4 linked regions of the Macaca fascicularis genome follow. The protein of the gene in region 2 interacts with the protein of the main gene of each other region in a biochemical or structural test. Links are inferred from orthologs where the notes say so. Each region holds a gene or a part of one and is shown on either strand. Other genes may lie near its edges. The genes, in order: SNCA, CRYAB, CS and CRYBA1.

Region 1 (4,204 bases), on a different chromosome or scaffold from region 2:
TCAAATGATCCACCTGCCTCAGCCTCCCAAAGTGCTGAAATCACAGGAGTGAACCATAGCACCCAGCAATAATTTTTAACTCTTCATTATTCATTGAACATTTAGTTAACAATTGTAAAAATGTTGTTTCCTGCTGTCATTGATCTTGTGAAGAATATTTTTGGACTATAGCTGTGGATTATTTCCTAAATAGTGAATTACTTGAGCAAAAACTTTACATACTTTGAGGGCTGGTAACCCATGTTGCCGCAATGTTTCCCCAAAGGCATTGCAGAGTTTAGAATGCCAGTACTTATATTAAAGTGTGCCGTTTTCAACATCCCTGGCCAACATCCCTATATGTAAGATTTTTCCAAAACATGGTTCTGATTTTTAAAAGTGAAAAATGCTACTTCATCATGTTCTTTTTGTGCTTCTCACTTTAAATATTAGAATGAAGAAGGAGCCCCACAGGAAGGAATTCTACAAGATATGCCTGTGGATCCTGACAATGAGGCTTATGAAATGCCTTCTGAGGTAGGAGTCCAAGCTGAATCTTTCTAACAGTACCAACAACCTGTCATTGTCATATTTCTCTTGCTTAGTGAGAATCATTTGCTCTCTACATGCTCATTACGTGGACAACTTTCAAGCTAGGAATGGTTTTTACATTTTTAAAGGGTCCAAAAAAAAAGAGGAGGAGGAGGAAGAGAGGATGTAACACAAATTCTAAGTCCACATAGCTTAAAATACTACTTGACCCTTTACAGGAAAAGTTTACTAACTCCTGCATTAGAGAATATATTTTTAGAAACTATACATTCTAAAATAAGTTTCTAAATGGAAAGTTAGGGAAATCAACGGAATGCCAAAGGAAGGTAATTATTTTTTGCCATACATTTCCAGTGGGATGATTGCATAGTAAAATAAAAGTTACCCACACAAGTTATAGAATGAAAAGATAAATGTATGATTTGCAACAATTGATATATTCCAGTATAACATTTTAAACAACGTATGATTGTTAATTTTATTTTTATTGAAAACAAAAGTATTTTAATAGAAAATGTATCAAAAGGGAAATTAGAAAATACTGTTAGATGAAAAAAACTGACCCAAGAAGAAATAGTAAATCTGAATAGATTTGTATAGATTTGTAACACAGTGAAGTGATTAAATGATTAAATTAGTAAAAAAAAAAAAAAAAAAAAAAAAAAAAAAAAAAAACAAAAAAAACACCTGCATGCAAAGAAAATCCCAGGCCGAGACAGCATCACTGGTAAGTTCTACCAAACATTTAAGGAAGAACTAATACTAATTAGTTAACACCAATTAATATCTCTTACACAACATAGGAGTCATTTAGACATTTCCCAACTAATTCCGTGAGACCAATATTACCCTGATAATCAAAACCAAACAAAGATATCACAAGAAAAGAAACTGTATGATGGTTCCATTAAAAATTGAGTTCAAATATGTTGTGGTTAGGTTATGTATTATTCCTCATGGCATTATTAAAAGGCATATCAAGGATGGGTGCAGCGGCTCACACCTGTAATCCCAGCACTTTGTGAGCCAAAGTGGCCAGGTTACTTGAGGCCAGGAGTTCAAGACCAGTCTGGCCAACATGGTGAAACCCCATCTCTACTAAAAATACAAAAATTAGCCAGGCATGGTGGAACATGCTTATAGTTCCAGCTACTTGGGAGGCTGAGGCACAAGAGTTGCTTGAACCCAGGAGGCAGAGGTTGCAGTGAGCTGAGATGGCACCCCTGAACTCCAATCTAGGCAACAGGGCAAGACTGTCACTCACACACACACACACACACACACACACACACACAGCATATTAATAATAATTCAATTTATAGAAATTGAGATTAAATTGTTTGCCTAATAAGAATTTCCAATATTTTGGGGTCTTTTATGCAAGACACAGTACCAAACACTATAGAAAACTATAGTGTAATTGACATTACCAGGATATAAGGAGTTTACAGTCTGGTAGGTTTGATGAAAAAAATAGAAATTCATTCATTCATTTCTTCATTATGATTCCTTCCTTTAACAAACATTATTGATTGCCTTCTATGTACCAGGCATCACAGGAGCAAAGATATACAAGATATACTAAAAAGTATAACATTTTAAAGGATCTGTTTCAATCAATCAGGAGTAGTTTTATTGAGGAGGTAATGTTGATCTGGGTGGGAAAAGGAAAGAGATATGGTAGGGCAAAACAAACAGAGGACGTTCTGGCACAAGGGAATATCAGAAGCAAAGGCATATGTGTCTGAGAATGCAAATGGATATGTCTGAGAACAGTAAATAATTATGACTCAAGCTTAGGAACAAGGAAAATGGTGATAGATTGAACCTGCAGCTATGGGTCAAAGACAAATTATAGAGTATTAGGACAATCTTGTCATTTAAGTTTGTGTTCTATTCAGAAAACAACTTCAGTTATTGAAGATATGCTTATTTGTTTGTTTTTAAGCAGAATCCTGATATTATTAAAGTTGCTCTTTAGGAGGAATAATCTGACCCCTTTAATTACATCATTAATATTTGTATTGTGGATGCTTTCCAGATATTGTATGGAGAGCTTGGGGTCTGAAATACAACTAATAATTGAAGCCATAGATGAAGATGAAATTTTCAAGTGGGAGAGCGAAAGTAGGGAAAATGTACCTCGCCTTCAAACGTCTTAATTTCCTTCTGAGAATTAGAGCGTCTTAGCCCTGGAAAAGGCTTTATAGACCGCTTGATTTTATTCTCACATTTTACAGGTGAAGAAACTGAGAATCAGCCAGTCCAACTTATTTGTCCTACCTGACTAGGTATATGATCATTAAATGGTACATCTGGATTAGAACCTAGATATTTTAACTGATTACTACCACAATTCACATCTATATCGGACAGGAAATACACAACTATTAAAAATAAGATAATGTATATTGCAGAATATTTGCAAAAACATTGAGTGTAAATTTTAATGTAAGTGATGAGCCATTTCCTATCTCATTGGCTGTCAGTGCTGATGCATGATTGAAACTTACACTAACAGTGCGTGCTGTCTTTTTTATTTTTCTAATATTAGGAAGGGTATCAAGACTACGAACCTGAAGCCTAAGAAATATCTTTGCTCCCAGTTTCTTGAGATCTGCTGACAGACGTTCCATCTTGTACAAGTGCTCAGTTCCAATGTGCCCAGTCATGACATTTCTCAAAGTTTTTACAGTGTATTTTGAAGTCTTCCATCAGCAGTGATTGAAGTATCTGTACCTGCCCCCATTCAGCATTTCGGTGCTTCCCTTTCACTGAAGTGAATACATGGTAGCAGGGTCTTTGTGTGCTGTGGATTTTGTGGCTTCAATCTATGATGTTAAAACAATTTAAAAACACCTAAGTGACTACCACTTATTTCTAAATCCTCACTATTTTTTTGTTGCTGTTGTTCAGAAGTTGTTAGTGATTTGCTATCGTATATTATAAGATTTTTAGGTGTCTTTTAATGATACTGTCTAAGAATAATGATGTATTGTGAAATTTGTTAATATATATAATACTTAAAAATATGTGAGCATGAAACTATGCACCTATAAATACTAACTATGAAATTTTACCGTTTTGTGATGTGTTTTATTAACTTGTGTTTGTATATAAATGGTGAGAATTAAAATAAAATGTCGTCTCATTGCAAACAAAATTTTATTTTTATCCCATCTCACTTTAATAATAAAAATCTTGCTTATAAGCAACATGCATTGAGAACTGACACAATGGACATAAAGTTATTAATAGGCATTTGAAGAAGGAGGAATTTTAGAAGAGGTAGAGAAAATGAACATTAACCCTACACTGGGAATTCCCTGAAGCAGCACTGCCAGAGGTGTGTTTTGTGGTGCCTTAAGTGGCTGTGATTAAAAAAAAAAAAAGTGGGCTCCAGGGAACGAAGCAGTGTAAAAGATGATTTTGACTACATCCTCCTTAGAGATCCATGAGACACTTTAGCACATATTAGCACATTCAAGGCTCTGAGACAATGTGGTTAACTTAGTTTAACTCAGCAGTCCCCACTAAAAAAAAAAAAAATCATCAAAAATTCTCTCTCTCTATTCCTTTTTCTCTCGCTCCCCTTTTTTCCAGGAAATGCCTTTAAACACCTTTGGGAACTATCAGGATCACCTTAAAGAAGATCAGTTCTCCAGACTGATAA
Region 2 (4,074 bases):
ACCCGGTATTTCCTGTGGAACTCCCTGGAGATGAAACCATGTTCATCCTAACCCAAAAGAATGAGGAAAGAGGCAGAGAGATAAGAATATGAACTACTATCACCTGCCCAGAACTCAGGCATCCTGATTTCCCCTTAGGTGAGACCAAATGCCATGACAACATAGGAAAAATAAACAGTGCTTTGTTTCAGGGTTGTGGCTAAGATGAAGTTACCTAGGTAGTCACTCCTACCAGTGAGAATCTGAGAAGTCTGAAACAGTACAACACTTCATTGTTTTTCAAACCCTGAGGCATAGATATGTTTAGGAGTATTTCCCAAAGGTTTAGATAATGTTGACTGGGCCTACAGAATTTGGAATCTCATTTAGAATCTGAGTCCCTGAGGAAGCCCTGAAATTGTCCTGACTCTTCAGGAATGTCCCAGAAGGTTCCAGAACAATAGGACTGCTGCTGGGGGAAAAAAAAAAAAAAGACTCCATCCAAGGAGACTATGACCCAAACCTAAATCATATGAGCAAAATTGAAACAGCCTGAGGACATTACTAAGGACAAACTGTACTGGTTGACGCACAGGTTCTGAGCTATCGCTGAGCTATCGTTAATTGGTGAGAAGGAATTTTAAAGCCCTCTTACAAAGTCATGAAAAGCTGTTCCATTCGTCAGAATTCCCCCAAAGAGTAGATGACCTTAACCCGTATGCCTGCTGACTCTCAAGCATGTAGCCAAACAGGCTCTCATTAACTGATTTCCGCATGGGCTATAGGGGATTAAAGACTGAGCACAGCTCTGAAATTTAGACAAACCAAGTAGTTCAGCATTAAGATGGGCTAAAGAAGAGACATGGATTCTTGCACAGCTAACAGAGAATTCACAACTCAAGTGCCTTTAGGGTACCTGTAGTTAATGTAATTATGCAAAGCAACTAGGTGTCTGACAGCCCTATACCTAAATCAGTGGTCCTCAACCTTGACTGTAGATTAGAATTACCTTAAAAAATGTTGATGCCCTGGGTCCCACCCCTAAAAATTCTGATTTAATTGGTCTGGAGTATGCCTGAGCATTAGGTTTTTTGAAAGTTCCCCTGGTGATTCTAATGTGGCCAAGATTCAGAACCTCTGGCTAAGATGGGGCATCAACATCCCATCATCCCATCTAAGGCGATCAAATCAAACAAAGACCACATCTCTGGCCATAACAACAGTAACAACAGCAATAGGTCTATCCCTAACTTAGTCTTCTAGACATTGATTTGTAACCCCTGATCTAGACTATTATAGCTTGGGACTGGAATGTAGCCAGCCTCCAAAGCTGATAGCACTACCTGGACTATTACAGTATACACTGAATGAATGAGCAGAAAACAAAAACCAAGCTACATACCTGGCGCTCTTCATGTTTGCCATGCACCTCAATCACATCTCCCAACACCTTAACTTTGAGTTCCTCTGGGGAGAAGTGCTTCACATCCAGGTTGACAGAGAACCTGTCCTTCTCCAGGCGCATCTAGAAATAGCAAGGTAAGGGAATGGGACGGGAGAAAGATGGCGAAAGTACTCATTATACTGGTGTTGTCTTATTCTGCAGAGTTGCTTTCTGTCCAGGTAATTCATCCTTCTCTTTTCTGCTTTAAAATATCCCCTTTTTAAATAAACATGGCTCTCTGCTTCAGGGAGCCACCACAGTGATACCTAAGGCTCATGGTGATCCGACCCAAACTTTATTTACAGGGACAGAGAAGAAGACAGATCACCCAGGGGACCAGTCGCAAGGATGGGTGCAGGCCTGGCATCTGCTGCCTCTCTGGCTCCGATGCCTGGCTTTGTGGTTTGTCTGTGAGACAAAGGCCTCTTCTTCTGGCTCAGGTCTCTTTGCCAGTTTTCCACCCACCCAATCTGGAATGTTCTGCTGGTCCTGCTTGTCCTTCCAAAGCCCTTGCCCACTCATCTCCTGTTTACTCACACTCGAATATTTTTAAACCAGAGCGTTATCTGTGACAGCTTCTGTCAACCTTATATGTTCACCCTGTTCTCTCACCCTCTTAGGACGAGTGGGGGTCCCTATATTGTTTCCTCATAAGGCTTGGTTGGACCCAGGCCAATGCCCTGTCACAGCCCTGAGAAACCCAGAAAATCACAGAAGAGGGAATAAAAAGGCAGAAAATGCCCATGAGGGTGAACAGCTCAGGCAGGGTGAGGCAGGGCTCTCTCCTGGCTCTGACACCTGAGATGGTAAAATTGGTCAAGAGTCCATGGTGTTAGAAGAGATGAGCAAAGGAGTTTGAAGGCAGCTCTTTCCCTGCAGATTGTTATGAACCAAACCAGAAAGGGGTACCCTGCAGAGAAGTTAGGGGATGGAGGATGAACTTGACAGTGCATGAAAAAAATGTAATAAATGGGATACAGAGGACCATCAAGTAGAAACAGGTGACGGGGGAGGGAGGAACTAGCAACCTCCTCATTTTTCTTCACATTTGGATACACATGTGCCTAAAATGGTTTAGGCAGGAAAGGAGAGGAAAATGGATGGAGAAGTTTACAGGAGGTTCCAGTAAGGACTCTCCCATTCTAGCAGTGGGGAGACTCACCTCTGAGAGTCCAGTGTCAAACCAGCTGGGTGCCCGCAGGAAGGAGGGTGGCCGAAGGTAGAAGGGGCTCAGGGAAGTAGACGTCGGGAAAAGATCAGACTCCAACAGGTGCTCTCCAAAGAACTGGTCAAAGAGGCGGCTGGGGGAGTGGAAAGGAAAGAAGGGGCGGCGGATCCAGGGGTGGTGGATGGCGATGTCCATGGTGGCTAGGTGAGTGTGGGGGGTCAGCTGGCTGGTCAGCTCCTTCAGCTGCAGCTACAGCCAGCCCCTTATATATGCAGTCTTGTGAAGCTTCTGGAATGGTGATGTCAGGGGTTTTATTATCCTAGCTCACCGCCGGTTCATGGAGACTTGTGATCGGGGATTTGGCAGTGTGACACATACCCAGTACTCACTGAGCTAAGAAAAGAGAAACACAAACACGTCTGAGCCGGCCAGTGACTTGTCATGGTCTTGTTTCACTAGCTTTCTGTACACACCCAGTGGCACCCACCCCCACCCCAGTTCTCTGAAGCTGGTACAGAGTCAGGAATCCCAAGCAGGCACGCGGGTGGGTGGAGGGGCAGGCGGTGGAGTGTGCCCCTCCTCCTCCTCCTCTTCAGTCCTGAATGCCAGGGGAATCAGGCCAGCAACTATCTTGGGCCTGGGCAGGGACTGGAATCTTCCTAGGCTGGGCCCCAGGGACATTAACTCTTTGTGAGTCCTTGGAAGAGAGCAGTGATGGTCAACATGCGGGTACCAGCCATCTGCCTCCTGCCCTGGGTTGACCTGGGTTTAGGAGAGGACTCCGACATCTGGGCAGAAAGACCCCACTCCCTGAAAAAAAGAGCAGAAAGATTTCTTGCATCTTTCATCCTATGTGGCTCTCAGAACATTAAATCCAGGAGTGCTTTAGGAATTGGGTGCACAGTGCCGGCCTCCAAGGAGGAGAAAATGAGGTGTGGAAACGTGCAAACCGTTTGTGAGGGTTTCAGCGAGGCCTCTTCATGCCCCAGGCACCACCAGCTCCCCCTTCTCAGCTCGTTCCTAACCAGGACCCTCAGCTGTCCTCTCAGGCCCCCTGCGACAGCTGAAGAGTGTGCGGGGGAGGGGACTAGGGGTCCAGGCGGCGCTGGTCACACCCTCGTTGCTCTCACTCAGGGCCCCCACTCCCCGCCCCTCCCCCCCAGAGGCTCGGCACTATTTTGGGTGGTGTCGACCCCGCCCCCACCTCCTATCGAGCCCTGGCTCTCCGGGCAGCTGGAGGGGTCGCGCTGCGCCTGTTGGGGCTGCACCTCGGACCAGGGCTCCCGCTGCATCTGCAGCCATGTCGGGCCGCTCAGTGCCACATGCCCACCCAGCCACCGCTGAGTACGAATTTGCCAACCCGAGCCGCCTGGGTGAGCAGCGCTTCGGAGAAGGTATGGCACAGATGCCACCCCCTTGCCTCCCACCCCCACCCCCTGAAATTCTGGGCTGACCTCCCAACGTTACTGGCCTCCACCCCACT
Region 3 (3,567 bases), on a different chromosome or scaffold from region 2:
CCCCATCTCTGCTAAAAATACAAAAATTAGCTGGGCATCATGGCACACACCTGTAGTCCCAGCTACTTGGGAGGCTGAGGCAGGAGAATCACTTGAACCTGGAAGTGGAGGTTGCAGTGAGCCAAGATTGCGCCACTGCACTCCAACCTGGCGACAGAGCAAGATTCCACCTCAAAAACAACAACAACAACAACAAACATCCTAATCTCATTACCAGCTTTTGTTCACTCATCCACAGCTGGAGAGGTTACTGGCTGATGATGCCTGTATGCTCTGCTCCATGACTCCAACCTAGGTTTAATAGCAATGGCCCGAAGAGGGAGCTCCTGGAAAGCCGAAGGACTATCTAATGTGAGCAGCTAGTACCTTTTCCCAGCCAGAAGCACCATCTTATTCTCAGCATGGTTATGGTAATTTCTTTAGGCCTCTTGACCTTCCTTACTAGACCCTTTTCTTGCCTTGTATCATCCTTGATGCCACATTTCTGTCTTCTTGCTGCCTATCATCTGTTCTCAGAAGATGAGAACATAAAGGAGCTTTTAAAAAAATTTCCCAGTTGAGGCTCCTAGCGGCTGTGGTTGCTGGGTCTAGCTTACCTGTGGATGGTGAGGTACAGGCGCATGAGCTCAGTGAACTGAGACTCAGTATAGCCTAACATGTTGGTGAAATTGTGGGACCAGTCCAGATTAGAGTCAATGGCCCCAATACCGCTGCCTTCTCTGTAGAGATTTCGGTAGATCTTTGCTGCAATACAAGGTAGCTTTGCGATTAAATCCATAGAGTCTTCATAAATCAACTGACAGAAGAGGAGCAAGATGGAGAAAAAAAAAGGAATTATCAGCAAAGAAGAATTAGACAGGGATATTGTCTGTCCTCCATGAATTGGGGCTATTTGGGGTGATGGTCAGTTATATGATGGGTTGTTATATATTGAGTATGTCTGAAAGTAGAGAAAAATCATAACCATTTAATTGAATAACTATTATGACCCAGGCACTAAGTGATTTGTAATACTATCTAGTGTACACTAAAACATTATTCCCAATGCTTACTACTACAAAGTATATAATGACTGCCGTTTTAAAGATGAGCAAACTAAGGCTCATAGTATTAGGTTAAATGCCAAAGTCAGGTTTGAACTCTGATATGGTTTTTTGAGATGGAGTTTCACTCGTTACCCGGGTTGGAGTGCAATGGTGCAATCTTAGCTCACTGCAACCTCCACCTCCCAAGTTCAAGTGATTCTCCTGCCTCAGCCTCCCAAGTAGCTGGGATTACAGGCATGTGCCACCACGCCCAGCTAATTTTGTATTTTTAGTAGAGACGGGGTTTCTCCATGTTGGTTAGCCTAGTCTAGAAACTCCTGAACTCAGGTGATCTGCCTCCCTTGGCCTCCCAAAGTGCTCGGATTACAGGTGTGAGCCACCATGCCTGGCCCTCTGATATGTTTAATCATGATCTTTTTCACTACACCATGACTTTACATTCACTGTGTTAAGACACTAGGTTTTATAGCCAGGTATGGTGGCTCACGCCTATAATGCCAGCACTTTGGAAGCCTGAGGCTCGCAGATCACTTAAGGTCAGGAGTTCAAGACCAGCTTGGCCAACATGGTGAAACCCTGTCTCTTCTAAAAATACAAAACATGAGACAGGCATGGTACGGGCAGGCACCTATAATCCAGCTACTCCAGAGACTGAGGCAGGAAAATTGCTTGAACCCGGGAGGTGGAAGTTGTAGTGAGCCGAGATCGCGCCACTGTACTTCAGCCTGGACCACAGAGCGAGACTGTCTCAAAAAAAAAAAAAAAAAAAAAAAAGGCCAGGCACGGTGGCTTACGCCTGTAATCCCAGCACTTTGGGAGGCCAAGGCGAGCAGATTACGAGGTCAGGAGATCGAGACCATCCTGGCTAACACGGTGAAACCCCGTCTCTACTAAAAATACAAAAAATTAGCCGGGTGTGTTGGCAGGTGCCTGCAGTCCCAGCTACTCGGGAGGCTGAGCCAGGAGAATGGCCTGAACCTGGGAGGTGGAGCTTGCAGTGAGCAGAGATCGTGCCACTGCACTCCAGCCTGGGTGACAGAGCGAGACTCCATCTCAAAAGAAACAAAACAAAACAAAACAAAAAACCACTAGGTTTTAATAATGAATTCTATATTCCATCTTTCAAAGAAAATTCACTGTATATGCCAAGGATCAAACAGTGATATTCAATTGTTATTTAATAACAAAGGCTTCCTTTTATTTTTTTTGGAGATGGAGTCTTGCTCTATCGCCCACGCTGGAGTGCAGTGGTGTGATCCTGGCTCACCACAACCTCCACTTCGCGGGTTCAAGCGATTCTCCTGCCTCAGCCTCCTGAGTAGCTGCGATTACAGGATGTGCCACTATGCCCGGCTTAATTTTGCATTTTTAGTAGAGGGGGGTTTCACCATGTTGGTCAGGCTAGTCTCACACTCCTGACCTCAGGTGATCCGCCCGCCTTGGCCGCTCAAAGTTCTGGGATTACAGGCGCGAGCCACCGCGCCCGGTGAGGCTTCCATTCTTTAAGCACTTACTATGCAACAGGTACTGTGCTAGTTATATTATTTGCAGTATTACCTTTTCTGTTCTTACAATAATCCTGTAAGGTTACATATACCTCTTTTTATAGATGAGGAAATCGGGGCTTAGCTAAGTTACCTTGTACAAGGTCACCCATGTAGCCAAGAAGCATTACCTAGCTTACATTATTAACTCATATCACATTTAGTTTTTGAGACGGAGTCCTGCCCTGTCGCCCACGCTGGAGTCCTATGGCACGATCTCAGCTCACTGTAACCTTCACCTCCTGGGTTCAAGCAATTCTTGTGCCTTGGCCTTCTGAGTAGCTGGGATTACAGGTGTGCACCACCATGCCTGGCTAATTTTTTGTATCTTTAGTAGAGACAGGGTTTCACCATATTGGTGAGGCTGGTCTCGATCTCCTGACCTCAGGTGATCCACCGCACCCGGCCCATGCCACTTTTTAAAAAGTTGATAAACAGGCCAAGCATGGTGGCTCACGCCTGTAATCCCAGAACTTTGGGAGGCTGAGGCGTGCGGATCACGAGGTCAACAGATCGAGATCATCCTGGCCAATAAGGCAAAACCCTGTGTCTACTAAAAATACAAAAATTAGCTGGGCGTGGTGGTGTGCACCTGTAGTCCTAGCTACTCAGGAGGCCAAGGCAGGAAAATTGCTTGAACCCAGGAGGCGGAGGTTGCAGTATGCTGAGGTCATGCCACTGCACTGCAGCCTGAACGACAGAGTGAGACTCTGTCTCAAAAAAAAAAGAAGTTGGTAAATAAAAAGCGTATATTTTTGGTTTGTTTTATTTTGAGACAAAGTATTTTGAGACAGAGTCTCGCTCTATCACCCAGGCTGGAGTGCAGTGGTGCTATGTTGGCTCACTGCAACCTCTGCCTCCCAGGTTCAAGCGATTCTCCCACCTCAGCTTCCCGAGTAGTTGGGATTACAGGTGTGCACCACCACGCCCAGCTAATTTTTGTATTTTTTTGTAGAGATGGGGTTTCGCCATGTTGG
Region 4 (3,325 bases), on a different chromosome or scaffold from region 2:
TGCCTTGGCCTCCTGAAGTGTTGAGACTACAGGCGTGAGCCACCACACCCAGCCCGGAAATACAATTTTAGATTGGCTTTGCTAATATACTTCACTCAGACCAGTGACGTAGACAGACCTTTTCAGTGATAATCCCAAAACAATTATTACATTCATAAACCTGCTTAGTATACCTGTCAACTCATTCCTCACCTCTTGTGATAAATTACTTTGTACAGCTCTACTGGGATTGGCTTGATATTTTACCCCACTATTAACTTATCTAAAACGAAAGATGCCTTCTCCCCAAGGCCATATAGGCTTTGAACACCATGAACAAACACTACATGTCTTTGGCAGCTGGATTGGTTATGAGCATACCAGCTTCTGTGGGCAACAGTTTATCCTGGAGAGAGGAGAATACCCTCGCTGGGATGCCTGGAGTGGGAGTAATGCCTACCACATTGAGCGTCTCATGTCCTTCCGCCCCATCTGTTCAGCTGTGAGTCTCTGAAATTTCCACTTCTGTGCATATGAGGGATGGGACAAGAGGGTGTGGACAGACTGACGTTCATGCTATTTCTCATCAGTTATGCTGAATGTGGCAGGAAAAAAGACAAAAGCAAAAAAAAAGAGAAAACATCACTTTCTCCTCTAAGCCTGCTATTTGATTTTTCTCCACCAGGTGGTATTTCCCTTAAGCTAAAACTAAGGGTCTTACAGGTGGCAATAAGTGGATACTCAAGAGCCCAATAAACTTGTGAAACACTAGTAAATGAGTGAATGTCTTTACCCTGTAGTAAAAAGCAAATCCTTGGCCAGTTAAATTTCAATCTGTGCAACATTTTACCGCAGAAACAGGGAAATGCTGAAGTAACCTTTCGGTAAGTGGGAATGACTAAAAAATAGGCAAGTCTTCCATTATCTATCTACATTCATTGATAATCATCTTCTTGTTCTGAACACTTAAGTATTACTCAATAATGCATCAGGCTGGGATGTTTCTGGTCTTTTTTGGAAAGAGTTCAAGCAGAAAGCAGGATGATCTTCAGGGGTGTGCTGAAAAATAATCCCTGTATTAGGAGTTAGGTTGGGCTAGAACCTTTCCAAATATTCAGTCTATATGTGAGTTTCTCGTGATTTTGGTTAATAATCTCACCTTGGTTCAAAGTCTTGCCAAAATTCAACTGATGGAGAAGTTAACCGAAATAGCTCTAATCCAAACAAATAGTTCCCTATCTGGAAATTATTTCAATCTCACTTTTAAAAAAACATTTCATTTTTCCACCCTAAGTTATAACTGACCTACAGTAAAATGCACAGATCCTAAGTGCATATTCTCATGAGTTTTGAAAATATATAGATCCATGTAACCAACACTCTAACCATATAAAGAACATTCCATCATAGTTCCCTGGTGTCCCTTTCCACTCAGTTGCTCCCCTACCACTTTCTATCATCAAACAGTTTTGTCCATTTTTGAAGTTCATACAGGTTGGTCTCTGCCTTTTTAATGCTTGTGTAGTATTCATGTCCCCTACTGGACATACAGGTTATTTCCAACAACACACATACACACGCAAGCGCACACATACATATTTGGGCTTACTTTTTGTATTAATTTGTGAGATCTTTTTTCACATTAGTGAGTATTCATCCCTTGGTTGGCTGCATTTTGTTAGTACTTTTTCCCACTGTCAAATCCTCTTCATTGTTCCAAAATAGTGTATCAGTTATTTGTACATTCCAAATGTTATGGTATTTAAATTGGAATAAACAAAATTATGGGTAACTTTTTTCTCACATATCTGTTGCCTTAATCTTTTTAAAATAAATTATCACATGCTTCCTTGTGTAATCCAAAAAAGTGTTTCAATTTTGAAAAACATGAATGATAGCCATACACCAGTACTGAACATTTTAAAACAATTTCTGAATTACAGAATCATAAGGAGTCTAAGATGACCATCTTTGAGAAGGAAAACTTTATTGGACGCCAGTGGGAGATCTCTGATGACTACCCCTCCTTGCAAGCCATGGGTTGGCCCAACAACGAAGTCGGCTCCATGAAGATACAAAATGGGGCGTAAGTACAAAAACAGGGTTGGAATACACTTCAAAGTAATTCCTGAAGTTGCATCAATGGTTGTTTTAATCAGATTTCATATGTATTGGTATAGATGTCACATTCTAGTTATACATAATTTTGAATCACAAGTTCTTTATACCAACTACCACTTAAGGTTGCAGATTTATCTCCCCCAGACATGCCTCTATGGAAGAATTTATGTTCACTTATACCTCTTTTGATGATTAAGGCTAATCAACTAGCTGTAGCTGTATTATGCTTGCAAATAGTGCCTGACACATTTAGGATAGCTATATTTTTCTAAGACCAAAAGCATCCCATACCATTAAGTTGAGGAAAGAGGCTCAGATTTTGGGGTGTTAACCAGATTCCTAATTAGTTTTAATAATGAAATGTACTTTGAATTTCCCAGCTGGGTTTGCTACCAATATCCTGGATATCGTGGGTATCAGTATATCTTGGAATGTGACCATCACGGAGGAGACTATAAACATTGGAGAGAGTGGGGATCTCATGCCCAGACTTCCCAGATCCAATCGATTCGCCGAATCCAACAGTAGCTGATTAAAAGCTCCAAGTACGATAATTCCTCAAGCATGAGACCTTGCTAAGCACTCTAGAATGAGTTTTATGTTCTGCTCACAGACATTGCTTTCAAATGTTAGCTGCTGAAATCCACAATAAACATCATTAAAAACAAAACAAAACAAAACTTTGTAGACTGAATTAACTACCATGCTTCACATAAATCACACCTATGTGGATGAGAATTTTTTTTTTCTGAGGTGGAGTTTCACTCTTGTTGCCCAGGCTGGAGTGCAATGGCGCTATCTCGGCTCACCACAACCTCCGCCTCCCGGATTCAAGAGATTCTGTCTCAGCCTCCCGAGTAGCTGGGATTACAGGCATGCACCACCACACCCAGCTAATTACTGTATTTTTAGTGGAGATGGGGTTTCTCTATGTTGGTCAGGCTGGTCTCGAACTCCCGACCTCAGGTGATTCTCCCGCCTCGGCCTCCCAAAGTGCTGAGATTACAGGCATGAGCCACCAACGCCCGGCCTGTGGATGAGAATTTTTGTTGTTGAGACAGGGTCTGTCACCCAGGCTGGAGTGCAGTGGTGCGATCTGGCTTAACTACAGTGTCGATCTCCTGGGCTCAAGTGATCCTCCTGCCTCAACCTCCTGAGTAGTTGGGACTACAGGCGCCTGCCACCGTGCCTGGCTAATTTTTGTACTTTTTGTAGAGATGAGGTC

The links.
Region 1: the proteins of CRYAB (region 2) and SNCA form a complex in vitro, tested with the Homo sapiens proteins (4 studies listed by BioGRID, with this or other methods). The link is inferred for Macaca fascicularis from reciprocal best matches to the Homo sapiens genes CRYAB and SNCA.
Region 3: the proteins of CRYAB (region 2) and CS form a complex in vitro, tested with the Homo sapiens proteins (3 studies listed by BioGRID). The link is inferred for Macaca fascicularis from reciprocal best matches to the Homo sapiens genes CRYAB and CS.
Region 4: the proteins of CRYAB (region 2) and CRYBA1 form a complex in vitro, tested with the Homo sapiens proteins (2 studies listed by BioGRID and IntAct, with this or other methods). The link is inferred for Macaca fascicularis from reciprocal best matches to the Homo sapiens genes CRYAB and CRYBA1.

What each region holds. Positions count from the first base shown.
Region 1 is NC_088379.1:95,268,971-95,273,174, reverse strand, and holds the end of SNCA (alpha-synuclein), read left to right. Parts: intron 1-432; coding exon 433-516; intron 517-3,083; exon of another isoform or gene 3,084-3,085; coding exon 3,086-3,118; 3' UTR 3,119-3,694; downstream 3,695-4,204. UniProt on the Homo sapiens protein: Neuronal protein that plays several roles in synaptic activity such as regulation of synaptic vesicle trafficking and subsequent neurotransmitter release.
Region 2 is NC_088388.1:110,836,533-110,840,606, forward strand, and holds the start of CRYAB (alpha-crystallin B chain), read right to left. Parts: upstream 2,833-4,074; 5' UTR 2,787-2,832; coding exon 2,586-2,786; intron 1,796-2,585; exon of another isoform or gene 1,727-1,795; intron 1,505-1,726; coding exon 1,382-1,504; intron 48-1,381; coding exon 1-47. Other genes in the region: HSPB2 (heat shock protein beta-2), read left to right, coding at 3,892-3,985. UniProt on the Homo sapiens protein: May contribute to the transparency and refractive index of the lens. Has chaperone-like activity, preventing aggregation of various proteins under a wide range of stress conditions.
Region 3 is NC_088385.1:63,075,228-63,078,794, forward strand, and holds part of CS (citrate synthase, mitochondrial), read right to left. Parts: intron 797-3,567; coding exon 597-796; intron 1-596. UniProt on the Homo sapiens protein: Key enzyme of the Krebs tricarboxylic acid cycle which catalyzes the synthesis of citrate from acetyl coenzyme A and oxaloacetate.
Region 4 is NC_088390.1:34,738,920-34,742,244, forward strand, and holds the end of CRYBA1 (beta-crystallin A3), read left to right. Parts: intron 1-339; coding exon 340-481; intron 482-1,922; coding exon 1,923-2,065; intron 2,066-2,480; coding exon 2,481-2,628; 3' UTR 2,629-2,760; downstream 2,761-3,325. UniProt on the Homo sapiens protein: Crystallins are the dominant structural components of the vertebrate eye lens.